Linked DNA regions of Mus musculus. The protein of the gene in region 3 binds, or shares a complex with, the protein of the main gene of each other region. Links are inferred from orthologs where the notes say so. Each region holds a gene or a part of one and is shown on either strand. Other genes may lie near its edges.

Region 1 (4,169 bases), on a different chromosome or scaffold from region 3:
CTGAGGTGCCCTCATTGCACAACTCAGTAGCATCTGAGCCTCCTCTAGCCAGTTTCCCCAGAGCAAGGATGGCAGAGAGACAAACACCAACGCAATTAACATTTATTTGTAAGTTTTCCCAAACAGGCCAATTGTGGTCTAGTGTGGCTGCCTGGATGTAACCCTGTGGTTCTGGGGTTTGTCAGTCTTTCCCCAGGGCTTCCTGGGTCCAGAAGTCCTCATGGAGCCTGGGAAGTGTCAGACTCGGAAGAGCTGCCTTGTGACGGGACAGGACTTGTACAGAGAGGCGGGAAGGCCTGCTCAATCCATCAGCACAGTGGGAGGAGCACAGAGGTGAGAGGAGAGAACTCGGTGGAAGGGACAGGGAGCTTTGACTGTGAGATGGACAGGACCAACCAGCAATGTTCAGCCTCTGAGCCTAAGGGAAGTGAGAGGCTTCCCAACCCACCTTTCTCTTGGCTTCTAAAAGGATGACCAAGAGAGAGAGGGCTCCAGGTTGTCAAACTGAGAAGAAAACAGCCCCATGTCCCAAAGAGGGCTGCAGTGCAGCCAGCTTGACCATCTTGTAAGCTGTGACCCTTGGTCCCTTTTCTGGAGGAGATATGGAGAAGGCCCCTACAGCCTCATCCCTGCTGGACCTTCACTGAGCCTTCTTGGTTATCTTCTGGCTCTTCAGCATCACATAGGTGATGAACAATCCTGTAATACACAGAATAGGAGGGACTGGGAGGATTGGAGTGGAAGCTAGGTGGCCAGGCATGCAAGGTCAGGCTCCCAACCAACCCCCCTAGGGGTGCATCTTTGCAGTCATTCACTAGGTCACACAGCCACTGAGGGTCAGTTAACTATCACCAAAATGGTGCAAGGCTAACCACCTGTGCATCATCCGGCCATGTGGTTCCTCAGTCAACCCAAGCACTCTTTTAGGCTCCTGGGCTAGAGCTTAGAATAGCGTAACAGCAAAGACACAGTTCCCAACCCACAGAGCCGTAAGAGATGCCAGGGTGACTTGAGGCAGGAACATTGAAGAGATGAAGATGAAGCTGAGACAGGAAAGAAAGGGGAGCCATGTCCTCATTGCCCCAGGAACCTGAAAACTGGGAACACCACTAGAGGAGCTTCTGCCCGTGGCCTTTAAGGAATAGGAAAGCCCCGGGGAGCATTGGTGACAAGGAGAGTCTAAGCAGATGTACAGCAGGTGCCAGCATGTGGAAGCACGCTGCCTTCCAGACACCCTGCCCCAGATCGGGAGACTTACCCACAAATAGGAGCAGCAGGAGGCCTGCGGCCAACGGGAGGAGGACGGCGTAGGCGCGGGGCAGGAAGTATTTGTGGATGACATGCTGGCTGTCAATGAATGGCTGGCACCAAGGGCAAGAGCTCTGGTGAGTACTGCTCACCTTACTCAGCCCCAAAGGGAAGCCGTCCCACCTCCCCCTGGCAGCACTGGATACTGAGGGCCCACCTTGATAGCATCCCCAAGCGTGGATATGTATCATAACAAGAGACCCACCATATTGTCTCTGTATTGTTGAATACTGCCTGGGCCTTGTGAGTGCTGGAAACCATCCTTTTTGATTTCTGAGGCCCTGGCTGACCTCACCAAGCTGCCCTCCCCCCTTCTTCTGCCTTCTGAGAACTCTAGGTCTTTTAAAGAGGTCTTTATTTTTTGATCATGCATTTGTGCCTGTGAGTCCAGGTGTACTTTCATCCAAGCCCTGGATCTCCAATCTAACTCCTAACACAACTTAAGCAGCAATGGCGTTCCGTTCCAGGGACTTTTGCTGGGTCTCCTGGAGCTGGAGTTACAGATGGTTGTAGCTGGCCATGTGGGTGCTGGAACTTGAACCCCAGTCCTCTGGAGAATCAGCCAGTTCTCTTCATCACCGAAGGTCAGCCCACCTAACTTTCCTCTCTGAAGGATACCAAGTACTGCAAGATGCCCCTTTCCAAGCACAGTGTACTTTAAAACAATAACTAACAAAATTTCCCACATTAAAGAGAGAGGCAGAGAGAGAGAGAGAGAGAGAGAGAGAGAGAGAGAGACTTGAGATGTTAATAAACTCCACCGGCGACTGCTACACCCAGGAACCTGCTGGCTAACCAGGAGGACAAACACAAAATAAAGCCTCACTGTGCGGCAGTTCAGAGGCTGAGAAACAGCCTTCTCCCCGAGTCTTAGCCTCCTCATCTATAAAATGTAGACACCATCTGCAAGCACCATAGTGTAGATTTCGTGAGATTAGAGCTAGCTAAACATCCAGACGCTGGCACACAGACGCTGATTAAGTCGCGTTAGGAAACTGGCTTAGAGATCCAGAGCAAAATGAAGGTGAGCGGGGTGGGGGTGGGGCACACATACCAAGAGAATCACCCAAGTGGTGTAGTAGGTGAAGATGATCAAGCTAACGGCGACAAGGCCAAATCCTACTGCTTGGTCTGTCCCGGTGGCCTGGAGAAAAATAAAGGCTCAGCAGGCGAGATGGCTCGTGTACAAGCACTAACGGAGGGTCGGAGCAGCCGGTTTACACTCCAAACCTCTCATTCATTTAGAACCACGGAGGGCTTACTAGAAGTGGCTCTCGGGTTTAGAAAGCCACGTCAGGCCTCGTGTCACCTGTCTGCAAGCGGTGGAGAGAGCGATCTGGGTTTGGAGAGCCCAACTCCATCTCCCAAGGAGACTCTTACTCAGAGCCCCGACCCCTGGTACCCTCAAATCACACATGTACTCCACCCCAGGCTCACCATCTCTCCAGCGTTCCGCCGGAGCAACAAAATACATCCGGTTCCTGGTTTAGGCCTTTCCGGCTTGTAAATCACGTGACACGCGGAGACTCGTCTGAGCTGACGTGCGGGCACTTTTCCCCGCCCTCCAGTGCATGTCGGGAAATGTAGTTTCTGCAGGGAACTGTAGGGCCGGGAGCTCAGACTTTCAGGTTTTTGTGGCTACATCCCTGTCAGACCCTTCCCAAACAATAATCATTTAAACATTATCCTACAGTCCCAAGCCAGAGTGAGATGTACCCCAGAGTTGGAAGTCCCGGAAAGGGATAGATCATAATGAGTTGGTTGTTGAAGCAGACATCAGAATTCAAAGGCTCTACATTCTGGCCTTGAAACTGTTAATGGAAGAGTCTGTATAGAATGACCACCACTGGCCTGGCCTATGAGAATTTCCACTGGTTGGCTTCCTAGGGAACTTTCTAGGCTTCCCTTCATTGTCCACTGCCAGAGGTTTCAGAATGGCCCTCTTAGAACCAAGGGGCGCTGGGCCAAATTATCTTTCATGCTTTTCTTCTGTTTCTCACCCAGAACACTACTCTCATGGCATATGGGGCTAGCTGCTGTAGATCCATTCTTCTCCAAATGCTACACCATGCAGGTTATCCATTTCTGCAACCAGAGGCAACAGCTCCCTCTTTGTGCCCTGACAGGTATTTTTAACCAGTTTCTTCGATGATTAGGACCAAAAGTGGGGCTTTAAGATCCCCGAATTGATGCTGGGCATGGTGGTGCATTTCTGTAGTCCCAACACTCTGGAGGCATGAGGAGTAGTAGGTCTCCTTAAACCTCATGGCTAAAGGAAACCTTATAAATACCAAATAAAAACGTTTTATTCTTTCCCCAAAACCAGAGTGAGACACCGTCTCAAACAAGAAGAGGTTCAGGAGTAACAGGTGTTCTCCGACCTTTGTCAAGTGCCCATTCATATTCATACAAACATGTGTGGACATATATGTAATATGTATGTGTGTGTTTGTGGTGAGCATTATGACTGGGGTCAGACTGGAGAACACTAACCTACTTTCCCCAGCATGTCATCTTACACATACATGGCTAACTCCTGTTAGCAGCCCCCAAGTCAACACGGTGATGAGAATGAAAAGAAACACCAACAAAAAGCAGTAACAAAAACATCGGCATTTAATTCCACCCCCAAACCAAACATTGACACTAGGCTGATTTCCCCATATGACATAATTTTCTATTATAAGCTGAGACAGATATGAACAGCCCACGGAATGGGGTGCAGTGGTAACCTGGTTAGAAAGGAATAACACAAAAGCAAATTCTCCCCACAGAAGAAGATGGGCCTGCTCATCCTGCCAGACCACGTGGTCAGCTGTAGGGTAACCAGAAAAGAACCCTAAAAATATTGCAGATCTTTT
Region 2 (3,219 bases), on a different chromosome or scaffold from region 3:
AGTCTCACTATGCTGGCCTGGACCCTCAAGAGATCCACCTCTGCCTCCCAAGTGTGTGTGTCACCACTGCCTGGCTTCCAAACAACTAACTTTTAAATGAATGGGCTAAAAAAAAGACAGTCCTTAGGGCCTGGGTGCTTGGTTGGCAGAGTGCTGGCTTGGCGTTCCTGAAACCCTGGGTTCCTCCAGCACCACATGAATGGATGTGGAGCTCTTGCCTATAAGTTTAGCACTCAGGAGGTAGAGACAGGAAGGTAAGGAGGACAAGGTCTGCCTCTCACAGCTTGAGGTTCCCCAGAACTAAATGAGAAGGCAATAGGCGGGCAGAGAGATGGCTCAGGGGCTAAGAACATGAACTCGCATCCTTTATGGATGATCTGAACACAGCTCCGGTAGCCTACAACTGCCTGTACCCCCAACTCCAGGGACCCATCACTTGCATGGCCTCCTTGGGCACCCACACTCACATGCGCATACCCACACACAGACACACAATTAAGAACAAATCTTAGAAGAAACAGTCTTTGGATGAAGGCTGGTCGTGTTCCTCTCCCATAAGACATTTTATTGAAAAGTATTTTTCAGCTACAAAAGAATCTGCAACAGCCAGGAACCTCCGGCCATGCCCCACTCCGCAGGCAGCCCGAGCAGGAGGGGCCTCGGCTCCCCTAGTTATGTCTGAAGAGCTTCAGGCCCATCCATGTCCACAGATGGAAGAACACGTACACAGGCACGGTGACCGGCAAGAGCAAGCTGTAGAAGCACAGGCTGCTGGCGCTGGTGCAGCCCTCTGGGAAGCCTTCCTCCACGGAGGCGGAGTAGAGCAGGCCTGCCAGCGAGACCAGTGGGATGAGGACGGTCATGGTGGGCAGGGACCGGATCATCTTCCTCCCTTCTTAAAAGGTTAACTGTCTCAAGAAAACTCAGTTGTTTGAAAAGTTCTGTTCTCGTGCGGGTGCGCTCTTGTCTTATCTTCCCCTTGTCCCGACTCCTCATTCACCCAGGCATGCTTCCCAAGGGCACGCAGAAAGTCCAGGGGTCCCAGGCCGAAGGTGCCGGCTCCTCAGCCTCCGCGTCACACGCAGCGGTTACCAGCGACTGCAGACACCACCTGTGTCCCTCGCAGCGCAGGCGAGAGGTCTTTTAACTGTATGAGAAAAATGCAAGATGACAAGATGAAGGGCAGGCGACGGGAAGGGAGAGGAAAGGATGGGGAAGCAGCCAGTACCAGCACTGAGTAGGTTAGAGACAGGATTGCTGGAACCGGCAGGCTGGCCTCGAACGTTGTGATCCTCCTGCATCAGCCTCCCCAAGCCACCACATCCGGCTAGAAAGAAGCCTTTAAAAAAAGGAGTGTCCTCCAAAACTGCCTATAGTGACCCCCATCAGAGGTATCAGTATTGAGGAGGCAGTGACAAAAGAACGGCTGCCAGACCATGCTTAAAACACTACAAGTGTCATGAATTACTTTGGGAAGTAAGCAATTTGAAAAACAGAATGAAGGACAGGTGGACTGATAATGTTTTTGTGAACTGGGGAAGCGGAATGCGACCTACAAATCCGGGTTCGCTTCAGACATCTGAGTGAGGCTTTCTATACGAGGACTGGCTGGGAACCAGCACCAGAACCTGGGGCCAGGTCACGAGCCACCCGCGGTCAATGCACAGACCGAAGACAGCGCCATCCCTTGGGCGCAGTCGCCTCGGGGACCAGAAGGGGCAACGAGCCCGCTGCAGTCTCTGACCGACGGAGGGACAGAGCCGAGCCGAGCCGAGCCGAGCCGAAGAAAACCGAGCCGAGCCGAGCGGGGCAAGACAGGACAGGGGGAACCCGGCCGAACCGAAAACGAACCAGCCAGACAAACGGAGTCGGCGGCGTCCATGGCGCAGACGCCAAGCTGGCGCGAGTCCCGCCCCAGCCGGTTTCAACAGCTCCTCCGCTCGTATTTCGAGACCCTCAACTCACCGTTTGCAGGCCTGTAGGAGTCCGGTCCCTTCGGCGCCTGGCGGTGACAGTCACCGCCCCACGAAGGCGGGACAGCCCGGCCAGCCGCCCAATCAAATCCCTGCAGGGGCGGGGTGAGGAACCCAGATCCCGCGATGGAGCCGGTCCGCGCGTGCTCATTGGACAGTTCACCTTGCCTTCGCTCCCAGGCTCAGGCTCCGCCCCCGTGGTCTTGATTGACGGGTGAGGCCAGAAAGACTCTGAGAGCACCGGATAGCTAAGGATCCCATCGTCTCTGGCTGGGCGTCCCCTATGCTAGTCCTGCTGGAAGTAGGAGAGGAACGTATTTGCCACAGTTTATTCATGGCGCTCCAGAGCAGACAGTGGGGTCTTTCTGCACTGAAAAGCCTTCCCCACTTTTTTTTTTTGGTTTTTCGAGACAGCCCTGGCTGTCCTGGAACTCACTCTGTAGAACAGGCTGGCCTCGAACTCAGAAATCCACTTGCCTCTGCCTCTGCTGGGGTTAAAGGCGTGCACCACCATGCCCGGCTGCCTTCCCCACTTCTAATTGATAAACTTGAATCCTGAATCGCACCTGGCCTCAGCCACTATCATCTATCCTCTTAAGCAGCGGAAAGATGACTGATACATTATTTTACGTATGAATCGGTAAATGGCAAAATAATAGTTTGTGCTGATGAGATGGCTCAGCGAGTATAGGCGTTTCCTGCCAGGTCAGACTACCTGAGATCGACCTTCCGGTACCCACATGGTGGAGAACTATTTTCCTCTGACCTCCACACATGTATTGTGGCACACCTGAGTGTACTCCCGCAAAAAGTGCAAAATGAAGTTTTAAGAGAAAATGTAGCCAAGCACACTCCTAATCCTAGCACTCCTTAGGCAAAAGCTAGCGGATTTCTGTGAGTTCGAGACCAGCCTGGTCTACATAGCAAGTTCCAGGTCATCCGGACTACATAGTAAGACGATGAGTGTGTGTGCCTTGGGGTTGGGGGGAGGGACGGTGTTCGTAAATGCTGTCCACGGGGCCGGCCACTGCCTTGCCTAGTGAGGCAGTGTTATCTCTGATCCCAGCGTAAAGAAAAATGAGGCTGAGCTAGGATTCTGCACAGTACTGCACAGGAAGCTCCATCCCTTAATCTTCCCGCAAGCTAAAAGATCAGAAAGTTTTTCTTCTCAGAGGTAAGTAGTGGTATAGAGTCCGTGCAGCTTCTGTTGCAACCACAAGGTGGCAGGAGAGAGCTGAGGACAAAC
Region 3 (4,334 bases):
GACACCCCAAGATGGGGCTCCCAGCAGAGCAGTATTTCTCTCCATGAGAGAATGTCAACGCATTTTCTGTGAGGGAACAGCAGCCCTCCTGACCTCTCAGGCTCTTGGTGTGAGCATTAAGAACCACCACAGGGGCACCACCACAGGGGCTGGAGAGATGGCTCAGCGGTTAAGAGCACTGACTGCTCTTCCAAAGGTCCTGAGTTCAAATCCCAGCAACCACAAGGTGGCTCACAACCACCTCTAATGAGTGAGATCTGATCTGATCTGATGCCCTCTTCTGGTGTGCCTGGTGTGCTTACATGTAATAAATAAATAAATCTTTAAAAAAAAAAAAACCACCATAGTAGCTACAAATCCTTTACTCTGTGGACCCCACTCTGTTCCTTCCACAGAAAAGGTGCTGTTTGGAGATTGTGGGTGTCCTCCACTTGTGCCTGCTGATCTGAACTGCTGGAATGGTTGGCAAGGTTCAAGTGCCTACATATGCCTTTCTTTAGTCAATACCGCATCTTGCCCATGTGAAGTGAAGGACACAGCAACCATGAACAAAGACCCCATTTTTGGATCCTTTCCTGAGGGAGGCCCAGATCTTGGGCTGAAGCCTAGTTTCCTGGTCTAGTGTCTGCACAAAACAATTGGAGTCGAGGGGATAGACAGTGACACAAGTGGTGGTGGTAGCTGGCCCATAGACAAATGGCCAGAGCTTGAAGGATCCAGGTGCAGCTGCTCCCTTCCTGTCCAGCCCAAAGCCGTCACATGGACAATGTGGCAAAGCTTTTTGGTTTTGATATTGAGGACTAGACCTAGGGTCTCATATGAACTATAACCCAGCCCAATGCTGAGAGGACTAATGGGACCCAGCACTGTAGGACTTCCAAATGCTGGTGCTGATTAAAAGAACAGTCCAAGCCTGAAAAAGCCGTTAAAGAAGTCTCGGGAAGCCTTTCCATAGAACTCTGAGTCAGAAGTCTCCAGGAAAACAAAACTCCAAAGAACCCGGAGGAAGCAGGCAATTGGTAGGTGTCCATAGGGAAAACCTGACGCCCAACACTAGGGCAGGCTAAATCCCCATAGCCAGTGTCAAGAACCAATTTCTCTTGTCCCTTCAGTAGGAACTGACTCCAGAAGGCCATGACATGAGGCACGGCTAAAAATACTAGAGCCATTCCGCCTGTAAGAGCCCCGGCGGGTCACTGTCATAGGGAACCCTTCAGCCCAGCCCAAACTCTTGTTCAACAACTTTGTAAGGACACACCAGCTCAGTGAAATATCATTTGACTCTCTGGGGGAACACTTCACATGAACTAAGGAAAAATGCTCACAACCGTGTAGGAAGAGAAATGCCCTTGATCTAATTATAAACAGATGTTTCAAAGGTTGGTTTGGAGTCTGCTCACAACTCGTGAATCCACTGTGCTATATACACACTGTGTCTATGCACATCCTCCTTGTGGAGTATGCTTCATTTACAGTTTACCTTAAAGCAAAAAAGCTCGGGTCAAAGGAAAGAAGGTGCAAGGCAGAGAGAGGTTGGAGCTCTGATCTGTGGGGTACTGAGAGAACTCAAGTTGAGGCAAATCCCCACCCTCACTCCCATCTCAGCCTCCGGATGCACTGAAGTGTAAGAAGGAGTGTGCTTACACTGGGCTGCTGGGATCCCAGCAGCAGAAAATGATGATGAAAGAGCAGGCGATCGATACAAGAGGTGAGAGGCTGGAGCGAGAAGGCAAAAACCTGGGATGCGTGAAGGCCTTTAAAGATGCTGATTAAAAGAACAGCCCAAGCCTGGAAAAGCTACCTTTGCTAAGAAGGAGTCAGTTCCCTCCCCGACAGCCCATTCCCAGGAGGGTTAAATAAGAGGCCCCAGGAAGTCTCTTCACAGAACTCCAAGTCAGACTTCAGCAGCAGAGCTACTGCTTACTTCCCCTGCAAGGAACAGGCTTGAGGGATGGCCAGCCCAGTTAAGAGAGACCTGGGACACATCATAGCTGAAACATTACTTTGTGAATCTTTGAGAGGGTTCATATTTACCCCACGTTCAAACAACAACAACAACAACAAAACCACTTTTCTGACTAGGGATGTAGTCAGTTGGTATGGAGCCTACCTAGCCTGCACCAGACCCTGTGTTGAGTCCCCAGAACCTCATAGACCAGTAGTAGCAGTGCATATCTGTAATCAGGAGGTGGCCAAAGGACAATCAAAAATTCAAGGTCATCCTTTGCTACACTAGGATTTTGAGGCCAACCTAGCCTAAAAGAGAACCTGCACAGAAACACATTTTCCGCCTCTGTAAATGCTTTCCTTTTTCATTTCAAAAGGAGGGGGTAATCTGTTTCTGATCTTTACTGGAGTGGATAAATATGAGCCTCTCAGCCAGTGCCCCAGGAATCTTCCAGCCAGTTCCCGGCCTGGAGGGGAGGAGGGGCCTCTCGGTGCCCTCAAGTTCCGGAGAGCAGGCCCAGACCCACAACGGGTGCCGCTGAGCCTGGAGGTCAGCTGCGTGGGTGGCCGCCTCTCCCTCTATCCCGGCCTCAGGTTTCCCATCTCAGAGTCTTTAGGACCAAGAGGCCTGCGCTACCTCGGGATTTCCTCCTCTTCCTCTCCCGGCCCCGCCACCCGCTAGTGCTCACCAGCTGGTCCCCGGGGCCGCGTCCCCGAGCGGTAGGGAAGGAACTGGGTTGGGCACTGCGTTCGGCGGGCCCGGGAGGACGACCGTGCTTGCGGCTCCCAGGCCCGCCGCGGGACATCAGCACCATTTCCGCCGGCTCCGCGGCGTTGTCGCGCGACGGTCCGGTCCCCAAACATGCCCGGGCTGTCCATCGCCTGAGCCCGAGAGTTCCGCGCGCGCGGCTCCTGTCATCAAAGCTACCCTCGCTGTAAATATCCTGAAAGGTCCGGTGGATCCAGCCTTTGAGGACCATGGTAGCCGCTTTGTTCTTACCGCCTGGCCTCCTAAACCCAGGCCCTTCCATCTGTTTCTATCCATTGCGAGTAGGGTGCATGCAGACCCGTGTGGGCCGCATAGTCTGAAAGCAATACCCCTAACAACGCAGTAACTAGTGTTTATTGAGCATCTACTTACAAGCAAAGTTTCTTTCATTGTCCATTAATCCCCCACAACATAATGAACAGGGCATATTGATTTAGCCTGCAGGAGTGACATGTGTGTTGACCTCAACGTCCAGATGACAGGCTGGGTGCCACCCCACACCCTAAAGGAGCAAAAGCAAGGAGCTTTTTCTTGCTTCTTCCCACATGAAGAACATGGGTGAGACCAGATTCTCAATGAGTAAGCTCTTCAAACACACACACACACACACACACACACACACACACACACACACACCCCTCCCCTTCCAGATCTCATCTGTAACATGGGAGGAAAGGCTACTGTTTTCCTGTCTTGAATGGAAGGGTATGAAAGAACCTGTGCTACCCAGAACCGTCCCAGCACCCCACCTAAGTGCTCAAAAGTGGTTTGGACCTGGATTGAAGGGAAAACTGAAGGTATCTTTCAAAACAGGGAGTGTCCAGTAGAGGACCTGCCCTTGCTATGTGCCCTACCAGGACACATGTTGGCCTTACCCCTCTGATTTGCCTACTCCTTACCTCTCTGTTGGGCCCAGAGTGCTGTTGGAGGCTCAAGAATGGGAATATTTTTGAAGCTGGGGGGAACACTAAGGGACCACACCCTTCCCCTAAACTGCCCAACCCAGCCTAGCCACACCCTCCCTGCCTGCCTGCCTGCCTGCCTCTGATTAGGATGTAGGGGTTGGACACCTGGCAGGAGATCTTGCCTAGCTATCTGCTGGCAGACAGCCTCAGCACCCAGGATCTATAGCTTCAAGTGTTGCCTCAAAGCTCAGGCCTCCCGAGACCCAAGCTAGCAGAGCCAGGGACTGAGTGGCCCTTGGGTTTTAGGGGCATGAAAACCTATGAGCATACTTAATAGGGAAGTGGAGATGGCCCAGTTTAGAACCTCATCAAGAAATGGTGATTCATGGTTTCTGTGTAGACAGGGGCACTTGCCAAGAGGAAATCACAAAGCCAGCTAAGACCAGGTATCAGGAAGACGGCTCAGCAGGCCCCAAGGAGCCTACCAACCTTCCATGATAGTACAAAGGACTCAGGCCCGGCCAGTCCTAGCAAGGGGCAATTTCCCCCAGAGCCTACCCCTCAGGCCATCTCCCCCAGATACTGGTACAACTTGATGCAGTTGTCCCCTGCATCTGCCACCACTAGTTGGCCCTGGGGTGCACAGGCCATACCCAAGGGCCTCTTTAGTCCCTCCAACTGCAAACAGATGGGTGGCCCAACCCGGGGAAACA

What was found.
Region 1: Pigq (region 3) and Dpm2 share a complex: the UniProt entries of both Homo sapiens proteins name them as parts of the glycosylphosphatidylinositol-N-acetylglucosaminyltransferase (GPI-GnT) complex. The link is inferred for Mus musculus from reciprocal best matches to the Homo sapiens genes PIGQ and DPM2.
Region 2: Pigq (region 3) and Pigyl share a complex: the UniProt entries of both Homo sapiens proteins name them as parts of the glycosylphosphatidylinositol-N-acetylglucosaminyltransferase (GPI-GnT) complex. The link is inferred for Mus musculus from reciprocal best matches to the Homo sapiens genes PIGQ and PIGY.

Annotation. Positions count from the first base shown.
Region 1 is NC_000068.7:32,569,489-32,573,657, reverse strand, and holds Dpm2 (dolichol phosphate-mannose biosynthesis regulatory protein), read right to left. Parts: upstream 2,801-4,169; 5' UTR 2,749-2,800; coding exon 2,746-2,748; intron 2,453-2,745; coding exon 2,363-2,452; intron 1,362-2,362; coding exon 1,259-1,361; intron 700-1,258; coding exon 641-699; 3' UTR 87-640; downstream 1-86. UniProt on the Homo sapiens protein: Regulates the biosynthesis of dolichol phosphate-mannose. Regulatory subunit of the dolichol-phosphate mannose (DPM) synthase complex; essential for the ER localization and stable expression of DPM1.
Region 2 is NC_000075.6:22,155,660-22,158,878, reverse strand, and holds Pigyl (phosphatidylinositol N-acetylglucosaminyltransferase subunit Y precursor), read right to left. Parts: upstream 2,034-3,219; 5' UTR 1,966-2,033; intron 1,148-1,965; 5' UTR 885-1,147; coding exon 669-884; 3' UTR 524-668; downstream 1-523. UniProt on the Homo sapiens protein: Part of the glycosylphosphatidylinositol-N-acetylglucosaminyltransferase (GPI-GnT) complex that catalyzes the transfer of N-acetylglucosamine from UDP-N-acetylglucosamine to phosphatidylinositol and participates in the first step of GPI biosynthesis.
Region 3 is NC_000083.6:25,939,179-25,943,512, forward strand, and holds the start of Pigq (phosphatidylinositol N-acetylglucosaminyltransferase subunit Q), read right to left. Parts: upstream 2,812-4,334; 5' UTR 2,637-2,811; intron 218-2,636; exon of another isoform or gene 1-217. Other genes in the region: Nhlrc4 (NHL-repeat-containing protein 4), read right to left, coding at 4,183-4,334. UniProt on the Homo sapiens protein: Part of the glycosylphosphatidylinositol-N-acetylglucosaminyltransferase (GPI-GnT) complex that catalyzes the transfer of N-acetylglucosamine from UDP-N-acetylglucosamine to phosphatidylinositol and participates in the first step of GPI biosynthesis.